Linked DNA regions of Drosophila melanogaster. Each later gene encodes a partner of the first gene's protein in a complex. Each region holds a gene or a part of one and is shown on either strand. Other genes may lie near its edges.

Region 1 (5,314 bases):
GACTGAGTGGCGCACAAAACCAGAACAAACTATCGCAATCAACTTATTCCAATTAACAATATTATCTTAAATAGACAGAAGTGAAAACAAATGCATTTATACGAAACGAGGGCCAAGCTAATGGCTTTTTTTTTTCTTCATTTTTATGGCAGTGTACTAGGATCTCGAAACGGATCTGTTAGAAACTATGTAATGGATTCCTAAAATCTCCGACAGTTGGCAGCCATTGTTGGCAATACTATTTTGATACAAGTATATTGATGTGTTCTTCATATGTATGTCCTGGGGTGTTCCTGAGACCTCTTGAGGTTTCAATGCAATAGCAAACGGTGTCTCAAATTATGCAATAAAATACTTAATACTTCTTATCTGAAAGTCTTTTGTGGATATTCCAGTGGGTTAGTGGCTTGTTGTGATACATACCATACATTCGGTTATTAAGTAGCGAAAATGCAAAATTTTAATTGTTTGCCTAAACCGTGAGTAATTAACATATACGTGTGACATTTTGAATTTTGTTTAGTTTTCTTATAACACATACATACAAAATATTTTCTTTTAAATTTTTCGAATGCTTAATGCTTTAAATGCGTTGCGCTTAACAGAAAAATTCCAATAAAATTATTGGAAAGAAAAAAATATAATCATCAATAAAATTTTAAACGAACTGAATGAAATGCATATAAACGATAACTAGGTATTAATCTGGCTAATGTTAGTGCATAAGGATCTCCAGCTGGACGAGCCGCTGGTTGGTGGTCGATGGCATTCGGTATGGAACGCTGGCAGCCATGTTGGTGAATGCCTTGGCCCTGTCTCGCAAATGTTTCACGGCGGGCTCCTTATTGACGCACTTGCTTTCATCAAAGAAACCGGAAGCTGTTTCATTCGAGTCCATTAGCTTCACATACTCCTGGTATACAATGTCCATGGACGCCAGCAGGATATCGGGCAGCACTTTAATGACCTCGGGACCCATCCGCTTTATGTTCGTCACACACTCGTCCACTTCCAATGAGCTGGCGGGTATCAGATGATTGTTGGTCAGGATTTCTAATGCCGAACGCAATGCGCCTTCGTGATAGTGGTCAAAGAACTTCATGACCTTTGTCAGCACCGTATATGTGACAACAACTTGAACCTCTACGTCCGATTTACGCACGACCAGCGCCGCATCTAGTCGATTGATAATATCGCCCAGCCGGTTACGCACGCTTCCATTCTGCGTTGGTTGGTGGACCACCTGTGCCAGTAGCGAGTTCACCAAACGCAGTGCCTTGTCCAGCTGGCCACCAATAAAGTAGAGCTCGATGGCCAATTCGTAGTCGCCGCGTTTCGACAACTCATCGCCCACCATTTCGGCCAGAGAGTACTTATCGCATTCATGAATTTGAAATTCCGCATATATGCCGCTAAATAAAGGGGAATGAATAAACCATTAGCTATTTGCCAAAAGGATTTTGAAATCTTTTAAGAGTACCAAAAACGTAACATACCCATAGCGCAAGCCGTTTTTCTTATCCTCCGTCCCGAAAATCAGCTCTAGCATTTCGTCGTCGCATTTCTCAACTAGCAGATCGCAGACGCAGGTGAGCATCACGTTGCCGCGTCCGTTCTCGGATTTAAAGTTGCGCAACAGGTAATAGTAATGCAGCGCCTGCGTGGTGTCCGTTCTCTCAAAGCACTTGGTGTACATGACGATCAGACGCACAAGATTGAGTCGTTTCATTGGTTTTGGGTCGTCAGGGTCGGAGCTCAGAAGGGATTGTTCCACGGAACGTGGTGTTCCCAGCATGGATATCTCGTTTAGGGCAATGGCCATGTGGATAGCGTGCGTTCGATTTTTCTCGGTGCGGGCGAGGAATTCAATGGCGGCCTCAAATTGGCCGGTAAGCGTCAGCACCTGGAAGTATAGCGCCGCCTTCTCGCGCGCATTGAAGTAGTTCTCGCCGTACTTTTCTAAAATGAGCGATTGCAGGCCGCTGAACGTTAGCTGCTCCGTGTTGCTGTCGCTTTGGTCCGACCTGCGCAGAATGGACAGTTGCATCCACAGGAAGTCGTCGATGCTGCGCATTAGTTCTACGTGAGTGAAGTGCGGATCACACGCCAACAATACGACGTATACCTAATGGAAAAGAGAAAAACATATGATTAGCACGAATATACGCAACAAGTTGTAGCAAAAGATGAGCACTCACCGCCTTTTTGTAGGGATCCGTACAGGCGCGCAGTCTACTGTTGTACTCCAACTTTAGCTGACCCTCAAGCTTTACCATCAAGTTGTCCCTATCGCCGTTCTTTCGCAACGTCAATAGCGTAAGCAGGTCGGGGCAGGTTCCCGATTCCTTGAGATACAACGCAGCCGCGTCCATATCGCCACTCCGCAAGCTATAGTAAACATGTGGCCACAATGGCTGGCCATTGTTCACGTCATGCAGCCCGTAGAGGGCTCGCTGCCCCTGGAGAGTAACGCCCACATAGGAGCGGACCATATGGTACACGCTGGGGATTCCTCCCCGCCGCGCTTTGGCCAAATTCGCGACGATAAACTTTCTCATATACGTCCTATATCTGCGCTCCAAGTACGTGCGGGCCTGCTCAACGAATTGCGGTGATGTCTGACGATTCTTGATTGGATCGATGGTGCTCGAGACTGGCGGCAACGCGGTCATAAACTGCAATACATTCCACATCTCGGCTACGGACTCATCGTTGAAGGAGTCTTGGACCACGTGGGCAAGGGTCGACAGCAAGTTAGGGCGTCTGCCCAGGATGATCGACTGGTTGTGGATGGCGATCTGTTCAGCGTACATCTGCTCATGGCCATTCAGTTGGGAGTACGGAGTGGGCTCATCAGCCATGGCCGTGGGCACTATCTGAAACTGGACGTCGGGGAAGTCCTGTTGGTTTGGTCCGACCAGAGCGTTTAGCAGCGCTTCCTTCTCCTCGCCCCACTCCGAGTAGATGCAACGCCACTTCTGTCGCTCCACAGATTTAAATATCTGCAATGGATTGGTTAATGGAGATAGAAAGTTCAGAATTTTGGGTGTCTGCCTGAAGCATGTCATTTGGCGCACTCACACTGCGATTCGTCTCATCGATAACTGAGAGTATGGCGTTCTCCCGCTCGTTCTTCAGATAGGCCTGCACATTGGTCTCCGTCACCGGATCAATCGGCTCGAAGGTTTGGCGGGCGCTGAGCGACTCCAGCTTCTGTGTAAGCTTGGGCAGGTCCACGCCCTTAGAGCCGAGCAGTATGTGGCTGCATTTGAATGACCGGTTAATATGACAATTTTTGGCGCCTGGCCTATAGCGAACTACTCACGCCTGCAGATCATTGGTGCCCATTTGGGTGACACGCGAGTGAAACTCCTTGGTTGCCTGCAGAACCTGGGACATGGTCCGTTCCACGCCCGGCACCTCCGTGTCCGTATTGGTCTCGTTCGTCAGGCGCTGGGCCTGCTTCAGCAGTTCCATCAGATCCATGTCGTGATATTGGGATGGAAAAGCCGGTGCCAATAAAATGATATTTCCAACGAAGCGCACACCAAGCTGCTAGTGCTGCCACCTGGTCGCAGTCCGGATTATTTCGGCGCCATAAAATGTTTGCAATCGGTGGTATTCTTTTTGGTATATTTAATAGTACAACTGTTATATGTTAGAATAACTATAATAATGTCTACAGATGGTATATAATTTAAAAGGAATATTTGATAATTAAAATCATTAAATTGAAAAATTTATATAGATAGCAGACTAAGAAATTATTTCTCAATACCTAAAAGTTGTTATAAAAACAAAGAAAATAGTCGATTTCCCCGAACGCGAAATTTCAAAATTTTTATGGAATATCGATATATTGGGGAATAAATTGAGAACAAATGGGAGTTTTGTAGGTATAAGGTATTTTTGGTATTACGCAATCTGTTATTGAAATGTCCCAATAACAACTGTTATTGAGAGGGAGTTGTAAGTACAACTTTAAAAACATTTGGTATTAGCTTGGTATTTATAGGCCGGCCGAAAGGCAGGACCGTCTGGTAACACTGAACAGCAGGCGTTAGTGTATTTCGCGCAGTGCAGATTGGTTTATTCAGCGGCTAACCAATTCAATCGTGAATAGACTTTAGCAGCGCGCAAATCGTAGAACAGAACGGCATATTTTTTTTAAACACTGCGAGGCGAGCTTCTTCTTCCCTCCGTCTCTCTGTGTGTGTGTGAGTGTGCTGCCTGTGTGTGTTACAGCTTGTGTACGTGAGTGTGTGTATTGGCAAAGGAAATTAGCACAACAAAAGCGAAAAGGAAACGAACACGCACGCACCTCGTCACGCGGATAAAGAAAAAAACTCTTCGATCTGATCAGAGATATCGAGAATAAACGATAAAAATAATAACAATATCGCAATGTCGGAAGTTGAATCGCAGCAGAGCCAGGAGACGAACGGCAGCAGTAAATTCGATGTGCCCGAGATAGAATTGATCATAAAGGTGAGCGAACAGCGACATTTGCATACCCCTGCAGTTTTCCATTTCGCTCTGCGCAAATTTCCGTGCAGAGTGAAAATGCAGCCGGGGCAAAAGCAGAAGCAAATGCAAACAAAGGCAAAAACAAGAAGCGACTGGGAAAACGCGAACTGCCGTTTGTTTCTCCTCCTCCTCCCTCTTTTCGGCTTCTTACCCCTGTTCGTTCTTCGTTGTCTTCTTCTTCTTCTTCTCACTGTGGCACTTTGCAGTGTGTCACATTTGGTTAAAACGAACAGAATACGTTTAGCACACACCGCCCCCTCCCCTCTCGCCGACGTTCCCCTTTCGCCTTGCGGTTCCTAAGCATCGCCAAAACCGGTTTTCTCCTTTTCTCCCTATCGCACATTCACACACACATACACACACACATACACACACACGCACGCACACTATCGCATACACATGCATTCGGGCACATCTGCACAGAACGAAATTGTTGATTGAGTTATGATTTTCAGAACTCCATGATTACCATTATAAAGCATCCAAATTAAATATTACAGCATACCTTTTTGGTGCAATACTCTAAAGCCGCCCTTTTTCCAAATTATCCGAGCATACCAAGCTGTTCATATGAAATATCTTTTTAATATTTTATAATTAACAATTAATCATGATATTGCTGTGTGCGCACAGTCTGAAATTTGTGGAACGTAACATATTACTTCGGTTCTTATCTGCTAAAAAATTTAATCACATTTCATTGCGCCAATTGCTCAACAAATGCTCCTTCATCATAGTTCTCCTAAGCCCCCCGCATCGCCCCCCTTCGCAACCATCAGCATGTTTC
Region 2 (7,573 bases), on another chromosome or scaffold:
TATTGATTTGAACCGATTACTAATTTCATTATCAAAAGTAAAGTCTAGTTCGAAGTTAAGATGTATTGACATAATGGAAAATGCTAACGGAGGTATTGTGTGCTTGAACAAATGAGGTGCTAGCTACTTGGCCGCGACTGTGCCACACTATGGGCAAGCGTCGAGTTGCGATCTATAAATATTGACAACAATAGCGGAGTCACAGAGAGTCGCCGGGTCGCCGACAGGCTATATCCACATGTTCTGCACCCAAATCGGGCGAGGCGAGTGCGTCGGCCTCGGGAACACAGAGACGCAGAAGCTTGGAAAGTTGCAACTCCAAATTAGGAGTTCAATCGAGGGTTACACACACAGGCCGCGCACACTCGCGCACAAGTGAACGGTACTTTGCGACAGCTGATTAATAAACAAACAATCCGGCAATCAGCGAATCGAGGAACCACGGAAATGTATAAAACTTAGAAATCAGAAGCGTGACGCCCACACAATTAGGAAACGACGACGGGCTTCGTAGGTGCTTTTCTCGCTTTCGAAGGCCGAGCTTGAAAAGTTAGTTTTGTTTTTTTTTGGGGGTCAGCAGCTGTAGCGCTCTCACTCGCACTCACACTCACTTGCGGTGGCTATGAAGTCGGGATTTGCTATAGTAGTAATCGGTTATTACTCACATTATAAGCCGCGAAAACAGGCTGCTGATCATCTTGAGCGTCGCCTGGCTGCTCTAGGGGAAAACTGTAGGGTATTTAATTAGAGTCCACTCCGTTATCCTGGCCTCCTTTCCAACCCCAATTTTCACCTGGAATTTCCTTGACTTTTCCGTAAATTATGTGATTTGGGGTACTTTATGGGCAATATCGAAATAAAATCCACAGATTTCTGTTTAAGTCGATTTAAATTTCATTTACTTTTTGGTAACTGCGATTGAATTCGAAGGATTTCGAGATTAATTGGCTACGCAATTTTTAGCACCGTGTTGCGTCGCCTGTGGATAATTGCGAATCGCCAGCTCGACCTCTACTACATGGCTTTGTGCAATCACAGTCGAAACAGCCGATGCTTTGTGCCCTGCTTTGCAAATGCATTCGCATTGCCCGCGAACAAATCGCTTTTGTTTAATTCTCAGCAAACAAAAAGAAACGCTTGTAGGACAGAGACAGACGAACAACAACAAGGCTGCTGCGCTAGCGATGTGCTGAAATTTTCGTTCTCGCACATACTGTCCAAAACAAAATACCGTCTGAAAAAATACCAACAAAGTGCAATTGCCATATGGTCAACCGCTAAGACAAGATTGGTGAATACTTAATTCAAGCTAAGTTGGTTTCTTTTAGTTAACAAGTTCATCAGTTAGTTATAGGAGAAAACTATTTTTATATAAGATTTTATCCCATTTTCTTTTTAAAGGAACATCTATGAAATTTAAATCAGATTGTATTGTATATGTTGTTGGATTTTTTGGTGGTGAGTTTTTGTGGTGAGTTTCCTGAAAGTGACCGTACTGCAAGTGGCGCGCTTTTTGCTTGCCAACGTTTCCAACGATCTCAACTTGCAGCCACACCATCGACTCGATTGGGAAATCGACAAGCCGCAAAAAATTTGGCGAAATAGGAGCGAAAACAGACAAAAATGGCGCAGAATGCACCAGACTGCGAGGACACGCAGGTAAGCACAATTGCATAGCACTGAGATGTCAAACATTCCATTGGTTTTGGTCGCAGGACTTTCAATTCAAACTGCACCACAAGATTGTTGCGTTCAAAAAATGCGGTGAGCCCCGCAGCAATGTGAACCTGCTGGCGGTCTCCAGTAGCCGGGGATTGCTCTTTGCCGGGAGTCCAACGCAGCCGGAACTCAAAGGTAATGTAGCTTGAGTTAGCTAGGCTAAATATATAAATTTATCCTGGCACTCCTTGCAGTGATTATTGTAAAGGATTTGGTCAATGCGAAGAGCACAGCCCAACAGCCGCAGGCGCGTCTGGTGCCACTGCCCAGTATTCCGAATTACATTGCCTGCAGCTCCGATGGCAACCTGCTGGCCGTGAATCACACCCAGAACGGCACCAGCCTGCTCAGCATATATGCGGTGCTATCGTTCATGACCCCTGATGTACGTCCTGTTTATAATATTCGCCTCGCCGCCGAGGATCACGTGCACGGCGTCCAGCTCCTCTGGAATCCCGTGCTGCCCAACAGCCTGGCCGTTGTTTTGAGCAACGGAGCGCTCGCGATGTATGCCCTGAAGGAGGGGGGAAACTTTGAAATGCACTCGCTGGACAAAAATCAACAAGTTAAGTGCGGCTGCTGGTCGCCCAAGGGCAAACAGATCGTTCTTGGTTTTCCCGGCGGCACGGTGAAGCAGTTCAAGCCGGATCTGACTCTGGCCAAGACGCTTTTGTGTCCTCCGAATATACATGATGCCCCCTTTGACACCATTGCTATACAGTGGCTGTCGACTTTCCAGTTTGCAGTGATCTTTCTCCAGCATGGCGAGGACTGTAGCCCCTCGCTTTACATTCTAAATGCTCCCAAGGCTGGTGCGCCCAGCTACATAAACTACTATGACATCTGCTATAGCATGAACGGCCCGAGGAATCATCAGTTCGTATTTAGCCATGTGCCCCAGTGGAATCTGCTGCTCGTAGTCTCGGCCAATGGCGTAGAGGTGGGCATCATGCGGTCAACCGAGGCCGGCGATACACCCGCTTGGCAGCAGCTTACATTGCTGGATGAGGCACGCATTGAAATGCCCCTAAGTGAGGACAAGGATGAGACCTTCCCGCTGGGCTTTGCCTTCGACACTTCTACAACGCACCAGCTGACGATAAATGAGAAGAAGCTGCAGACTATGCCCATGGTTCATGTTTTGAGTTCGGATGGAGAATTGCTCTCGTTCAACTTTCTTAATGTGCTGCCGACGGCGGTGTCTGTTTGTTCGCCACCTCCTCCAGTGGCCGATACTTCTGGGCAGTTCAAGCCGTTGAATATGCTGCTTGCTAGTGAGGAAGAAGAGCAGCCAGCTTGGGCAGCCAGTCCCTCCAAGGCTCCAGCTGCAACTCCTGCTGCTTCCTCGGACATATCCTTTGCATTTACACCGAATACCGTTACTTCAACCCCAGCTCCCTCGAAGGATAAGCAACCATCATTGTTTTCTGGCTTTGGAGCAGCTGCAGCTAAGGCACCTGCTCCGCAACTATCTTTTGGTACTGCTCCGACTTCTAGTCCGGTTTCGTTTGGTGCTCCAACTACCAATGCAGCCAAGCCAACAACACCGTTTGGTGGGTTTGGCACGCAGGCAACGACTACTGCCATGGGAAGCATGTTTTCGGCTTCAGGAGCAAATGCCTTTGGGGGAATGGCATTGAATAAACCGGCTATTGCCAGTGTGACACCCCGAACAGCGGCACCTGGGTCAACAGTACCCGCAACTCCTGCTTCTGCTCCAGCAAACAAACCACTGTACACGGTTCCTTTAACATTCACACCAGTGGACACAAAACCAGCCACTTCAGCTCCTCCACAAATCGCAGATGAAAGTCTTAAGCCTGATGACACTGAGCCTATTATCAAGGACATGATTGCCCTACAAATCGAAGCCTTTAGCAAGGATATCCAAAAGCAAAAGGAACAGACGAAGGAACTCCTCAAAGGCGTAAGTAGTGTTGGTATTACACTGCTTCATGTATTAAAGTTGTTATTCCGCAGATTGCAGCACCATCTGCTTTGAGGGCATACGCAAAGAGACTGGATGACCTCCAAGAGCTCAATGAACAAGCCAAGGATGTGGAGTTCGAGTTAGATGTACAGGGATTGCGACAGGGTCTTAATGAGGCCTATGCCATCGTAGCAGAGTGCCGCGGGAAACTGGAGATTTATAGAAAACCAGAGTGGGTAAAGGACTCTTTGAATATATAAGCTATTTAAAACCCGTAATTTTCGTTTAGGATTACGCGTTTAATGAACTCAAGCTCCTGTGATCCCTCTGGCCGTCGCATGCTAGCTCGTCTTCAGAGCTACGTGGCTGCCAATGAGGCCCAGCTGCGTCTTGCCCAGCAGCATGTCGATTTGCAGTGGGAACAGTTTCAGGATGTTGTGCGGCGCAATTCGAAGTCTCGCATGCACATGCCTTGCCTAGAGGGAATCTATCAACGACTGACAAGACTACAAAATCTAACTTCTAACCAGCGAATTGTACAGAACAACATCAAGTCCAAACTGAAGGAGCGCGGATTGCTTCAGGCCGCACTGCTCGACCAGGAGAAAAGTCGCACCCGCACCAACGAAGCGTTAGTAGAAGTTATTGTGACCTCTCTCTTTATGCGACTATAACTTTTTTATTTAGAGTGGATACATTGACCGACTCCATTCTCACGATGAGTCTTAGCCAGGTAGTGGACTCTAATGCAGCCAAGCTCACTCGAGAAAGACTACAAAAAATCCGTAATATTGTTCAGCTGCAGAAGATCAATGTTATTTGTCCCCAGCGACCAGATCGAGTGGGGCTCAAGTCGGAGGTTATTTTGGAAACGAAACGTAGGGCGGAGCAAATTAAAAGGGCAGCAGCCAAGCCTGCAACAGCCAACAAATACACCCAAGCAGCAGTCGCTCCGCCTTCACCACCAGATGTTGCACCCACGCCAGCTGTTGCACCCATGCCACAAGCAACTGTTACAGTGGCTCCTCCGCTGCCTAAACCAATGCCATCTATACCGTCCGTTGTGGAAAAGCCTGGAGTGCCCACACATCCGACAACTCCAGTGGCTACGCCATTTTCCTTCAGCCAAAGCATCCCATTTGTGAAGACATCTACTGTGACGCCAACGACAAATACTGTGACTCCTGGCGAAGCAGCCAAGCCGGGTTTATCCATTTTCGGCGGCAGTACTATTTCCAGCTTTAGTTTTGGTGGTGGTGCTGCCAAGTCGGCACTCTCATTCGGAACAGGATCGCCAGCCGTGGCAGCTCCTACACCAAAACCAAACCCGTTGTCAGCGGTCGAAAAACCAACACCCGAGCCGACTAAGCCCAAAGAGCAGAAAGCAGCAGAAAGCAAAGAATTCAAGGCGGTACAACCCGAAACAGAAGAGTCAAAAGTACCCCAAAAACCAAAGGCAGAGACGGAAAACAAATCCTTTGGATTTGGAGGATTTACAGGAACTGGAGGTACTGTCGGAAATACTTCCAGCTCCCCGTTCAGCTTTGGCGGACTGGGTTCATCTCTAGGCTTCGGAGGAACAGCCGCTGCTGTGCCAAAATCTGAACCTTCCAGCACAGCAACCACTAGTGTAGCCACATCAGCTTCAACTGCACCATTTGGCATCTTCTCAGCAGCTTTGGCGAAACCATCCAACTCTGAACCGATCACCACGGTCACTAGCAACACAACCACCATCACCAGCAAGCCTACGAATGTAATTGCTTCGAGCAGCGTAACTGATGCTCCTTCCGTCACCACAACAAATGCAGTGACCAGCAGCACGGATCCTATTGGAGGCCTCTTTAGCTCTGTGACTATCTGCAAGCCCAACACTCCTGCAGGTAAGCTATAGTTTCCTTTATCAATATACCTTACGCATAAATGTATACGCTTATTTGGCATAAACTCTAAACGGCTATATATGTCTTTTACTTTGCAGATACCACCAAACCAGCCAACATTTTTGGAGGAGGTTTATCCGCTGGTAGCTTTTCATTTGGCGGAACGATTGATGCCTCAAAGGGATTATTCGGCAGTACCAAACCAGTGGCAACAGCTCCCACAAGTGTGACGGAGGCGAACAACAAAACTGATCCTATTTCAACCACCCCATCAGCCATTTCGACTACTACTGCTACGACGACTGTGTCTAGTCCAGCAGTAGTTCCTGCGGCAGTTACCGCAGCAGTTCCGGCAACATCGAGCACAACGGTAACATCTAGCACTGCTGTTCCCGGCAGTGCGTTCTCCTTCTCAAACGCATTTAGCACCCTAAGTGCGGGAGGTGCTGCAGCTCCAACTACCAGCGCTTCAGCTCCCTTAGCTGCCAAAAGCCCAACCGCTACATCTACAGGCAATAACTCGTCGAATTCAGTGTTTGGTGGTGGCTTCGCAGTAGCAACATCAACAGCGGCTCCAGTGGCTAGTCCCTTTCAGTCAGCTGCAAAAAGTCCAGTTTCGAGTGCAAACATTTTTGGCAGTATACCTAAGGCGGAGACCAGCGTTTTCGGAGGAGCTACAACTGCTCCTTCAAACACCACGGCTGCGGCAACACCAGATGCACCACCAGCGGGTCTCTTTGCATCGGCCGCGATTAGTAACCCTTCGCCGTTTGGTAGTCCCACGACTAGAGCACCAGCCTCTGGCGGTAACATTTTTGGTCAGGCTGTTAAGCCAAGTGTCTTTGGACAACCAGCACAAGCAGGCGATAGCGGAGGATCTATTTTTGGTGGCGGATCCGCCAGTACACCTTTTGGATCCAGCTCAATTTTTGGAGGAGGTAATACGCAGGGCGCAGTCGGCGCTCCGGCTGCAGGAAGTACTTCAATTTTTGGCCAAAAAGTGTTTGGTCAATCATCAGCGGCTGCACCGGCAGCAGGTGGGAATATATTCTCCAATCCCGTCGGCAGTCCGCAAGCTTCTCCTTTTGGTGGCGGAGGAAACTCTATTTTCGGATCACCAGCAACAGCTCCGCCCGCATCTGGCGGATCGATCTTTGGGGGTGGCAGCAGCTCTGGTGGATTTGGCTCCTTCACGCAGACGACACCAGCTCAGGGGGGCTTCGGTGGTGGATTTGGCCAGGGCGGGGGTGGATCTGTGGCCCAGACAGGTTTTGGCTCACCACAAGCCCCGCAGCAGCAAACTACGACACCAGGTGGGTTTGGAGCCAAGCCCGTTTTCGGTGGATCCCCGGCCTTTGGAGCTAGCCCCACTTTTGGGGGAGGTGCCACCTTTGGCAGTCCGAAGGGTTTCGGTGGATTTGGCGGTGCCAGCCCAGTAGCCTCCCCTCCACCCTTTGGTGCTGCTGCAAAGCCGGCACAGGGAAACATTTTTGAAACGTTGGGGGGACAGGAATCGGGACTCTCTTTCGGAAATCTAGCACAGACTGGAAACTCAAATGCACAGAAACCAGCGTTTGGCGGGTAAGTTCGACCGACATACATACATATGCATACTTATATAAGTATTTCCAAGAATGCATACGACTAACGAAATATTAAATTTTACTATTTCAGATCGAGCTTTATGAATTATCGTTGAGTTCATAATAAATGTGTTGCATAACTCAATAGTTTTGCTTGTTCAGTTTTCATGAAATAAGAATACCAGTTAAAATTAAAAATCTTAAATCTTAAATCTTTATTAAAATTAAAAAAAAAAAAACTGTGTTTTTACTTCACGCGAAATGTGTGTACTGAACTTTATTTAGTATTTATAGTCTAGTATGATAAGGGTTTCTTTTTTTATGAAATACTTGCTATGGTATTATGCTCATGCTAAGGTTATCACCTATTTCATTCGAACATCTCATGAGATGCAGACACGTCTGGCTTGGATTCCCGTCATTTTTTGGTTCCTCAAAGATGTGGGTGCTTCAATCTT
Region 3 (8,010 bases), 6.0 Mb from region 1:
AGTAATGGGGCAAGAACGGAGAAAGAGGCGCAAGAGAGAGCGAAAAAGTTAGTACACCAATTAATGGGTCGGCATTCTGTTGGACTTGAAAGCATTGAGCACTTTTTGTGGTCGTTTTTGCCCCAGCAGCTGGTCCAAAGATTAATCATTCCGCTCTCTGCGTTTGCTTTTATTAATTCTCCTTTGACCCATCGAATGGGGGGAGTGGTAAAGTTTTAAGTTTCTATATTATCAAACTATAGGAAACTATATCCATGATACTAGTTGGGCAGTCTCAACTTTGGAGTACCGAATTTGAAGTCTTTTGATCACCTAGCACTGCATAACTAGGTTATTTTCATAGCCAAGGAGTAAAGTATACTGAATACACTCGAAAAAAAAAACACTAATAGAGAATTATAGTTAATACAATTACCAACCATATGTGAGTCTACCATTTGCACCGTTCTTACTATAATTTGAAGAAGCTGTACTTTAAAGGTATAGTTCAGTTTCTTCCTGTGTACTCTGTCCTATGACTTCTTTTTTTTTTGTGTGTGGGAGCGAATTATGAAGTACAGAGGAAATGGTCGAGCAACACAAACGCACACACACATTTGGAGAAACTTGGGAGATACTTACATTTGTTATTGTTGCTGCTTCCTCGAGGCTGTGCTGTTGTTGTTGCCGCTGCTGCTGGTGGTGTTGTTGTTGTAGCTGTTGCTGGAGTAAGTGCAGTTGTTGCTGTTGTAGTTGTTGTTGCTGATGTGCCGCAATACCACCACAATCCATAGTAATTACGGGTGCGAGGGGGCGGGGTTAAGTGTGTGTGGGAGTGGAGTGGAGTCGTCAATTGGGAGCGCACTCTCTATCTCTCTCTCTCTCTCTCCAAATCTCGCTCTCTGTATTGCTGCTCCTTCGCGCGATCGCTTACTGCAGCGGAATGAAAAGCGAAACAGACATAATTGAAGAAATGCGATAGCTCTCCGTCTTGAATTTCAACGATTCGCCGTAAGGGAGCGCTGTTAACCGCTATTTCAGTCACTGTTTGTGTCTTGTTCCTTTTTTTTATTTTTTTTTATTTTCAGCTAACTCTGCAGTTTGCCTTTGTCCATATTTTCGGTGGAAAAACCACTTCCTTGCTCTCTCGCTCTGGCTCCCTTGCTCTTCTATACCGCTCTCTCTCTCGCTCGCCAGGCGTTGCGTGGGCGAACGTAGGGGAGAGAGCAAGCGAAACGAAAAGAGAGAGGCGAACGCAGTTTGGAGTTTTATGCACTGGAGTTGTGAGTATGTTCGTGTGTGCCTGTGTGACTGCTACCCCCACACACTTGCACTGCCTCTCTTCCTCTCTGTCGCTCTCGCACACCCAGTACCAAGTACTCTGAACTCCAACTCCAGTTACAAATTCAATTCCAATTCGAATAATTCCCAATGAAATTTGAATTTTCCTTCCAATTGCACTGGCTTTGGCAGTTAGTATCCCTTTTGGCATTTATTGCAGCCGAACTGCGCCGATTGCATTTGCATTTACACTTCTACATCCACTTCCACATCCACTTGCATCGACAGCCAGAACCAGCATCCCACTATGGTGCAGTTCAGCCTGCCCGCGGCCATCGGTGATTCACTCACAATGCGAACAGGACACCACTTGGGCAGTGCGTTCGCTGGCCAAATCAAGTGGCGGAGAACAGAAAAAAAAAAAAACGCGAATCGGAACAAAACAAATGGATGCTACTATCGGGTAACTACGAAAAGTCCGTGCGTAGATTTTCACGAAAACGCCCCGCCCGCGCCGCACTGAAGTTGTGTTAGTTAGTGGTGCGACAACGCACCGATGCAGCGCCTCGATTATCGTTCGATAAGCATCGATTTTCCGATTGACTTGGTTCGAATCAACCGTTTAGCCAGCGCAGCAACCGCAGTTAGCGGGCACAAGCACCGAAGCGCGTACGAGCGTGGTGAGTTCGTACGGTGGTGAACATCTGTGTTTTCCAGTATTTGCAGCACCCAGCCCTGGTAACCGGCGCCTTGTCGCAAAGCGAAGCAATCTTGCCGCGTTTTATAGTCAATAACTGCGAATCAGCAAGAACTGCGTGAACTGAGCGAACCGCAAAACCAAGTGAAATGGATGGTGAGTGCCTGGCCAACGAGCAGATGTGCGTGGGTCGCCAAATCACTAATGCCACCCATGCGTCCACAGCTGTAATCGAGGACATGTGGACGCCGTACAAGCATTTGTACAACACTTTTCAGACCGCGGTGTCCAATCGCAGTGGCTTCACCTCGGATCTGGAGCAGTGCCTCAAGAAGTACAAGCACAACTTCAGCAACTTGCTGCGCAATCCGGTGGGTATAGCAAAACAAGCGCTTGCAGATCCGTAGATTTAACTAATTATTGATAATCCATTATTGAAAATGTCGGCAGCCGAGAAGCGAGAAGAGCCGCAATCTCCTACGAAATGCCCTCAACGAAGGCGTCCCGATGCAGGGGCATTCGCGAAAGACAAAGATGTCACAGGACCTGGCCGACGAGGCGGTCATTCTGTCCGACATGTTCGATCTGGACGAGGGTTTCGCCGTGGAGCTGCTGTGCACCGCACAGCGCCAGCAGAAGCATCATCCCGGCCTGTCCAGAGGCCTTGTCGCGGTGCTGCTCTACTACGATGGACGAAAGGCCATCAGCTGCACGCTTCGCGACATGTTCCAGGTGGTTAGCGGCGTCTCGTGGAACACCGAACTGCCCAAGGAGGTAAGTTTCGAGATTTCGACATCGCAGGCATCGCAGTGCCGCTGAAAGAGAGATTCACTGACCCTGATTATCGTTCTACGCACGCAGATCACCGGTCTGGTCACTAACTATGCCGAGAGCCTTGTCGACGGCTCTGGGATACTGGGACGCCTGCTGCAGCTGCTCGAGGAGATGGATGTCGACAAGGAGGTGGGTTTGTATGCGCCTGTTTCTGAAATTCTCTGAAATTGCATATCTTCCTTCGCAAATTGTTATTCATTTGTTGTCCAACGTTCGCAGTGCGCTATGCTGACCACAAACCGCGCGTTTGGCTCCAAGAAGCATCAGAACCAGGTGCTCGGCCTATACGAGGACATTCAACAGGCATTGGCAATGGCCCTGTTCAATTGGTCGGCACAACGCGGCCTGCCGCGACACATTGCCATTCGGCTGATGCACCAATTGGCCAACCGAAAGAACCACGACGCGGGCGGCAACATGGACGACGTGACCCTGATCATGCTGATGGCTCTGCTGTATGCGTACGATACCTCCATGCTGCTGGTCACCGAGGAACCCAATGAGCACACAACCCGACTTCCGATCTTCAGCGATCGCGAGTTCGCCGAGTGCTTCCTGGAGGAGCTGTACGCGCAGAGCAGCTGGCAAGCACCGCGCCTGAATGCCATCATTGCCTACAGCTTCGGACTAACGCTGGCCAGCCTGCGGCATGCACCTTTGCAGCTTCAGGCCACCGCCATCTCGATCATCAATCGCGATGAGATGCTCATCGACGAGGCACTGGGAGCGCAGGTATTCGTCTTCTTCCACAGCTTGCTGCTCGAGAAGGATCTGGTCTATAGGTGAGTACTGACAACTGAAGTGTCAATTGCCGATTCGCAAGCTAATCATCATTTGTGCTGACAGCACGCAGTTCTTCTACCGCCGCGTCCATCTGCTCATCACGGACTTCATCGACTTCATGAACTCCAAGGTGTCGGAGCTGCGCGGCCGAGCAGACGAGTCGTCACACACGATCATCAGCTTCCTAAACGAGGGTCTGGAACCGCCGCCCAACTTGGACTCCAACTTTGAGCTGCTCATGCTGTGCGTGGCCAAGATGCACGGCGATCCGCGCGTCACCATCAGGCTGTGCAACGAGTACTGGGGCCCCGGCGATCCCAACGGCTCTACGGCATTCAAGAACACCTCGCGCTCGGTGTCGCTGTTCAAGTTCATTAGCTTGGCCAGCGACCTGCTGCCACAGACGCTGTTCAAGGCCTACCTCAAGATGATATCCGGACTTACACGGACCGATTTCTCGGCTCGATGCGCCTTCAACATGCTTAGGGTGCCCCAGATGGCCACCGGCGGCAAGTATGCGGTTAGCTGGGATCACTTCTTCACCACCCTGGGCAACTACTATACGTAAGTGTGACTCAAATCTGGTATTGAAGATCTCTCTGAAGATCACTATCTTCTAGTTCGATGCGCAACGACTTTAACACCAACATCGGCATGAGCGGCGAGACCATTTACCGCACCCGATCGACACCAAAGGCCATTACGCAGCGAGAGGCGGAGCATCTGGTGGCCGTAATGGGCATCATACAGGCGGTGGCGGAACACGACGAGGTCTCGCGCATCATGATCTGTGACCATCCCAATTGGCAGACGCCGCAGGTGCTCCTGGGCCTGGTTGCGTGCGCCACGCCGCTTTTTTTGAAGGCGGAGATTCTGCACACGCTGGCTGCCCTGGCCAAATCGAAGGAGACGGCGCGCGTCATCTGGTTCCACCTGGAGGCCTCGCAGATTATACCCACTGTGCCCGTGTCTAGAAGCTATGCCCAGTGCAGTTTGTTGGAGGAGATGGAACAAATCGAGAGCCGTTCGGAGCAGTATAACCTGACGCGCGGCATCCTCCAATTGCTCTACACACTGATGACCACCAATCTGCCGAAGAGTTTGGGCGCCGGGCAACGGACACCGGCCTACGAAGGCTATCTAAAGTCCATGATAAATTCGGTGTTGCTCAAGTTTTACAATCGCGCGTACAAGGTTCCCTCCGAGAAGTGGCAAGTTGGCGCCCAGTGCCTGAAACTGCTCTACTACCTACTGGCCACCTATCGGCCGTCCGCAATGGATTTTCTGGAGACAGTCGATGAACCTCCCTATCCGGGCTTTCACGTTATGATGCAGCTGCAGCTGAAGTCCGAAATGTTGCAGCTGCTGCTGTGCATTGTGGAGGAGGTGCGTGAGCGGCTGGACAACTACAATCGCTTTCAGGGCAAGAAGCTACTCGAGGAGTGCTCATTGTACGCACTGCTGATCCTGGAAGCCGCATTGGCGAAACAGAACGCCTTCTTTGAGGCCCACTCGGCGGCCAATTGCCCCATTTTGCTGTCGGGCCTGAATCGCATGCTCCTGGATCTGAATCCACGCAGTCGCAAGCCCGATCACGTGCTGAATATCATTAAGTATGTAACCTATAATAGCTGGCTGCCGCGGCACGCCCTGGCCGCCATTAAGATTCTGGCTTCGGTCACCCAGCTGCCGAATGTCTCCACCCAGATTCTCAGCATGTACGGTCAGGGCAGCAATGAGAAGCTCGAGATTCGTCAGGGTTTCGTCGAGTGCCTGGAAATGGAGGTGTGCGTGGGCAAGCACGACGACGATTTGTTGGACCAACTGGCCCTCAACAATCACGTTCCGTATCTGGGATTCGGCGATGATCTGGACAATGAGCGAGAGATGAGCGGGGAACGCGAATATTCAACTATTGAATCGCAACTGGAGCTGCAGGCGGGGGATGGCGCGCTGGAGAGCAAACCGGCTAGCATTGAGCTGCAACTGAAAGAGGCCATTATCAAGCTGTTCGAGATGAATCTTAGCCAGCAGTTGCCCAACTTTGTGTACTTCCTGCTCGGCGTGGATGTGCTGCGCGAATTTATGGCCAACGGACGGCAGCACCTGGCCATCGAGATGCAAAGCTCGTGCGTGAACTCCGTAGTGCTGTTGCTGGAAAAGTACATGGATGTGAGTTGAAAGCCATTGGCCATTACTATCTATTCTAACTAACTAACTAACTAACTAACTTACCAACTTTTAACAATCAAATCAATCTCTGATATTGCAGAAACAGCGTCACAGCGATAAGTACTGCGAGCACACGGCGAGAATCGTGGAGCGCATTTACCATCTGTTCCATGGACTCTGCGCCAATCGCCGCACCGCGGAGACGATACTGCGCTACTTCCGGCTAACGTGCAGCGACTTCCTGCTGCGTCACCTACGCTCGCTGCCCTTCCGGCAGCATCGCGAGGATCATGTGCTGCACGCCATGGGCCACCTGCTCAACTGCGTCTCTATCGATGTCAAACTGGCGGCCAAACATGGCCAGATGACGCGCTTCAACCAGATGTGCGACATTTTGCTAATTGGAAACGGAATGGAGCGTTCATCCCATGGCCTGTCGATGGAATTGGGCCACAGCCTGATTTCACAGCCGTCGTCGTCTTTCCTCGCCATGGATGTGCTACCGGCCGGTGGATCGATAAGTGCCGTGGCACATGGGGCTGGTTCGGCGTCTCTCGGAGCTCCAAACACTGGGGTCAAATCACTTAAGCCATCGCTGCTGCAGGAGACATCGCAGGGACTGCATGTCACCCGACTGCTAGATATTCTCGTCCTGGAGGCGGGCACGTTGAGCCAGCCGCAGCTGGAGTTCTTCGACGGGCATCTGATCACTCAACTGCTGCGCGACTGCGAGGCATCCGCCGAAGCTGGCGCCAATTCCAGGGCCAACTTGATCAACGTGCGCAAACTGTACTACATTCTCACCGACGAGCTGTACATGGTGCAGAGCATCATTGCCAGCGGCCAGCGGAAGGCCATTTCCACGGAAATCATGCTGCTGCTCAATCACGCCGTCAACATAAATCGCGTGCGGACACAGCGCTGCGCCACGCTGGCCTTCATGGCAGCATGGGGTCAACTGGTGCAGGTGCTCTTTAGCAACATGCCCGATGCCGTGCTTCCGGCGACGCAGCGTCGCCAGCACATCATCGATATCGTCGAGAAGGTACTCATCAAGGTGCAGCCCATACAGCCCATCATCGAGATATCCGTACAGGTGAGCGAGACGGTGCTGCTGCTGCTTGCCAATTTGCGCTACTGCTGCTACCAGGCCGAGGACCAGAGCCCCGAGGATCTGGCCGCCGAGGATTCGCTCAGCAATGGCAATGGCAACGCCATCGGCAACGATTCGCAGGTGAACGCATTGTGTCTGGGCCAGAGGGCAATCGGAACTGGTTCGGATGGCGGCAGTGGAGGTGGACGGGATATCGGTTCCGGTGGCAACAGCAGCAATCTGCGATTCATTCTCAAGAACCTCGTCCAGTGGATCATGATCAGTGAGGTGAAGTCGCAGAAGCTGCGCATCAATCTGTACAGTTCGCTGCTGAATTGCCTGCGGATCGCGAAGCGACTGCGCACCGACGAGCATCTGGAGTACCAGGAGACGTAAGTGTATCCTTCTCAACAGCAGTAGCAGGCAGTTGTAGCTTTCATTCTATTTCATTGCAGATTGATTTCGCGCCAGGAGAGTGCACGCACGTACAACAAGGAGCAGCGGCGCGACGATCGCCTGCGGCTGAAGGCCATGGCGGCGGAAGTGATTGGCACGTTCGGCGAGAAGCTGATCGACACCATCTGCCACGATGCGGTGACCGGCCACGATGTGTGCCGCATGCTGGCGCTGGCCTGCCTGGACATGATCTCCGAGCTGCAGGCGGTGAGCACGCTATGCGACTTTGTGGCATCGCGTGGCTACCTCAAGCACATACTGGAAAGCCTTGATCAGTCCAGTACGGCGCTTTGCGGGATTCTGCAGCCCGTGCCGGATCACCTGAGGCCGCTCTACGTCTACGAGTCGCGCATGGCCTTCCTCACGCGCATGGCGAACAGCAATGTGGGAGCCCGGCTCCTCCTCACCGAGCAGGCGCTGGGCGTGCTTTCGAATATGAAGGTCTATGACCAGCAGCCCGACCTGAAGTCCAGCGAACTGAATCGTAACGAGCCGCAGACCTTCCTCCCGTCCATCGATGACCGCTTCCGGTCGATCCTCCTGCCGGCGCTGAGCCTCTGCGATGCCATTGTCAACTCGCTGGGTCCGCGCAACAACTCCGCCGCCGTGCAGGTGCTTAACTTTCTGTTCGCCCACATCGACATGGTCGAGGCCATGTTGCGCTCGGCCACGCCGTATATGGACCTCGGCCACCTGCAGCAGGTGGCGGTCATTA

What was found. Proteins that work in one complex are often made in the same cells at the same time.
Region 2: Nup93-1 (region 1) and Nup214 share a complex: the UniProt entries of both Drosophila melanogaster proteins name them as parts of the nuclear pore complex.
Region 3: Nup93-1 (region 1) and Nup205 share a complex: the UniProt entries of both Drosophila melanogaster proteins name them as parts of the nuclear pore complex.

What each region holds. Positions count from the first base shown.
Region 1 is NC_004354.4:13,821,099-13,826,412, reverse strand, and holds Nup93-1 (nucleoporin 93kD-1), read right to left. Parts: upstream 3,588-5,314; 5' UTR 3,487-3,587; coding exon 3,326-3,486; intron 3,263-3,325; coding exon 3,082-3,262; intron 3,003-3,081; coding exon 2,199-3,002; intron 2,126-2,198; coding exon 1,497-2,125; intron 1,413-1,496; coding exon 716-1,412; 3' UTR 503-715; downstream 1-502. Other genes in the region: Clic (chloride intracellular channel), read left to right, coding at 4,405-4,488. UniProt on the Drosophila melanogaster protein: Required for nuclear pore complex assembly, maintenance and function. Required for nuclear import of phosphorylated Mad via importin msk. Has no role in classical nuclear localization signal (cNLS)-dependent nuclear import via importin-beta.
Region 2 is NT_033778.4:22,918,705-22,926,277, reverse strand, and holds Nup214 (nucleoporin 214kD), read left to right. Parts: upstream 1-1,535; 5' UTR 1,536-1,623; coding exon 1,624-1,659; intron 1,660-1,715; coding exon 1,716-1,854; intron 1,855-1,913; coding exon 1,914-3,646; intron 3,647-3,699; coding exon 3,700-3,881; intron 3,882-3,938; coding exon 3,939-4,280; intron 4,281-4,336; coding exon 4,337-5,532; intron 5,533-5,630; coding exon 5,631-7,113; intron 7,114-7,206; coding exon 7,207-7,231; 3' UTR 7,232-7,341; downstream 7,342-7,573. Other genes in the region: CG30187 (uncharacterized protein), read left to right, coding at 7,506-7,573. UniProt on the Drosophila melanogaster protein: Part of the nuclear pore complex. Serves as a docking site in the receptor-mediated import of substrates across the nuclear pore complex including emb, RanGAP and phosphorylated Mad. Protects mbo/Nup88 from proteasomal degradation at the nuclear pore.
Region 3 is NC_004354.4:19,850,242-19,858,251, forward strand, and holds the start of Nup205 (nucleoporin 205kD), read left to right. Parts: upstream 1-1,972; 5' UTR 1,973-2,106; coding exon 2,107-2,328; intron 2,329-2,407; coding exon 2,408-2,731; intron 2,732-2,818; coding exon 2,819-2,920; intron 2,921-3,010; coding exon 3,011-3,573; intron 3,574-3,637; coding exon 3,638-4,138; intron 4,139-4,194; coding exon 4,195-5,746; intron 5,747-5,846; coding exon 5,847-7,231; intron 7,232-7,294; coding exon 7,295-8,010. Other genes in the region: pico, read right to left, coding at 622-771. UniProt on the Drosophila melanogaster protein: Plays a role in the nuclear pore complex (NPC) assembly and maintenance, but with limited role in NPC permeability. Required for specific nuclear import pathways such as Mad import.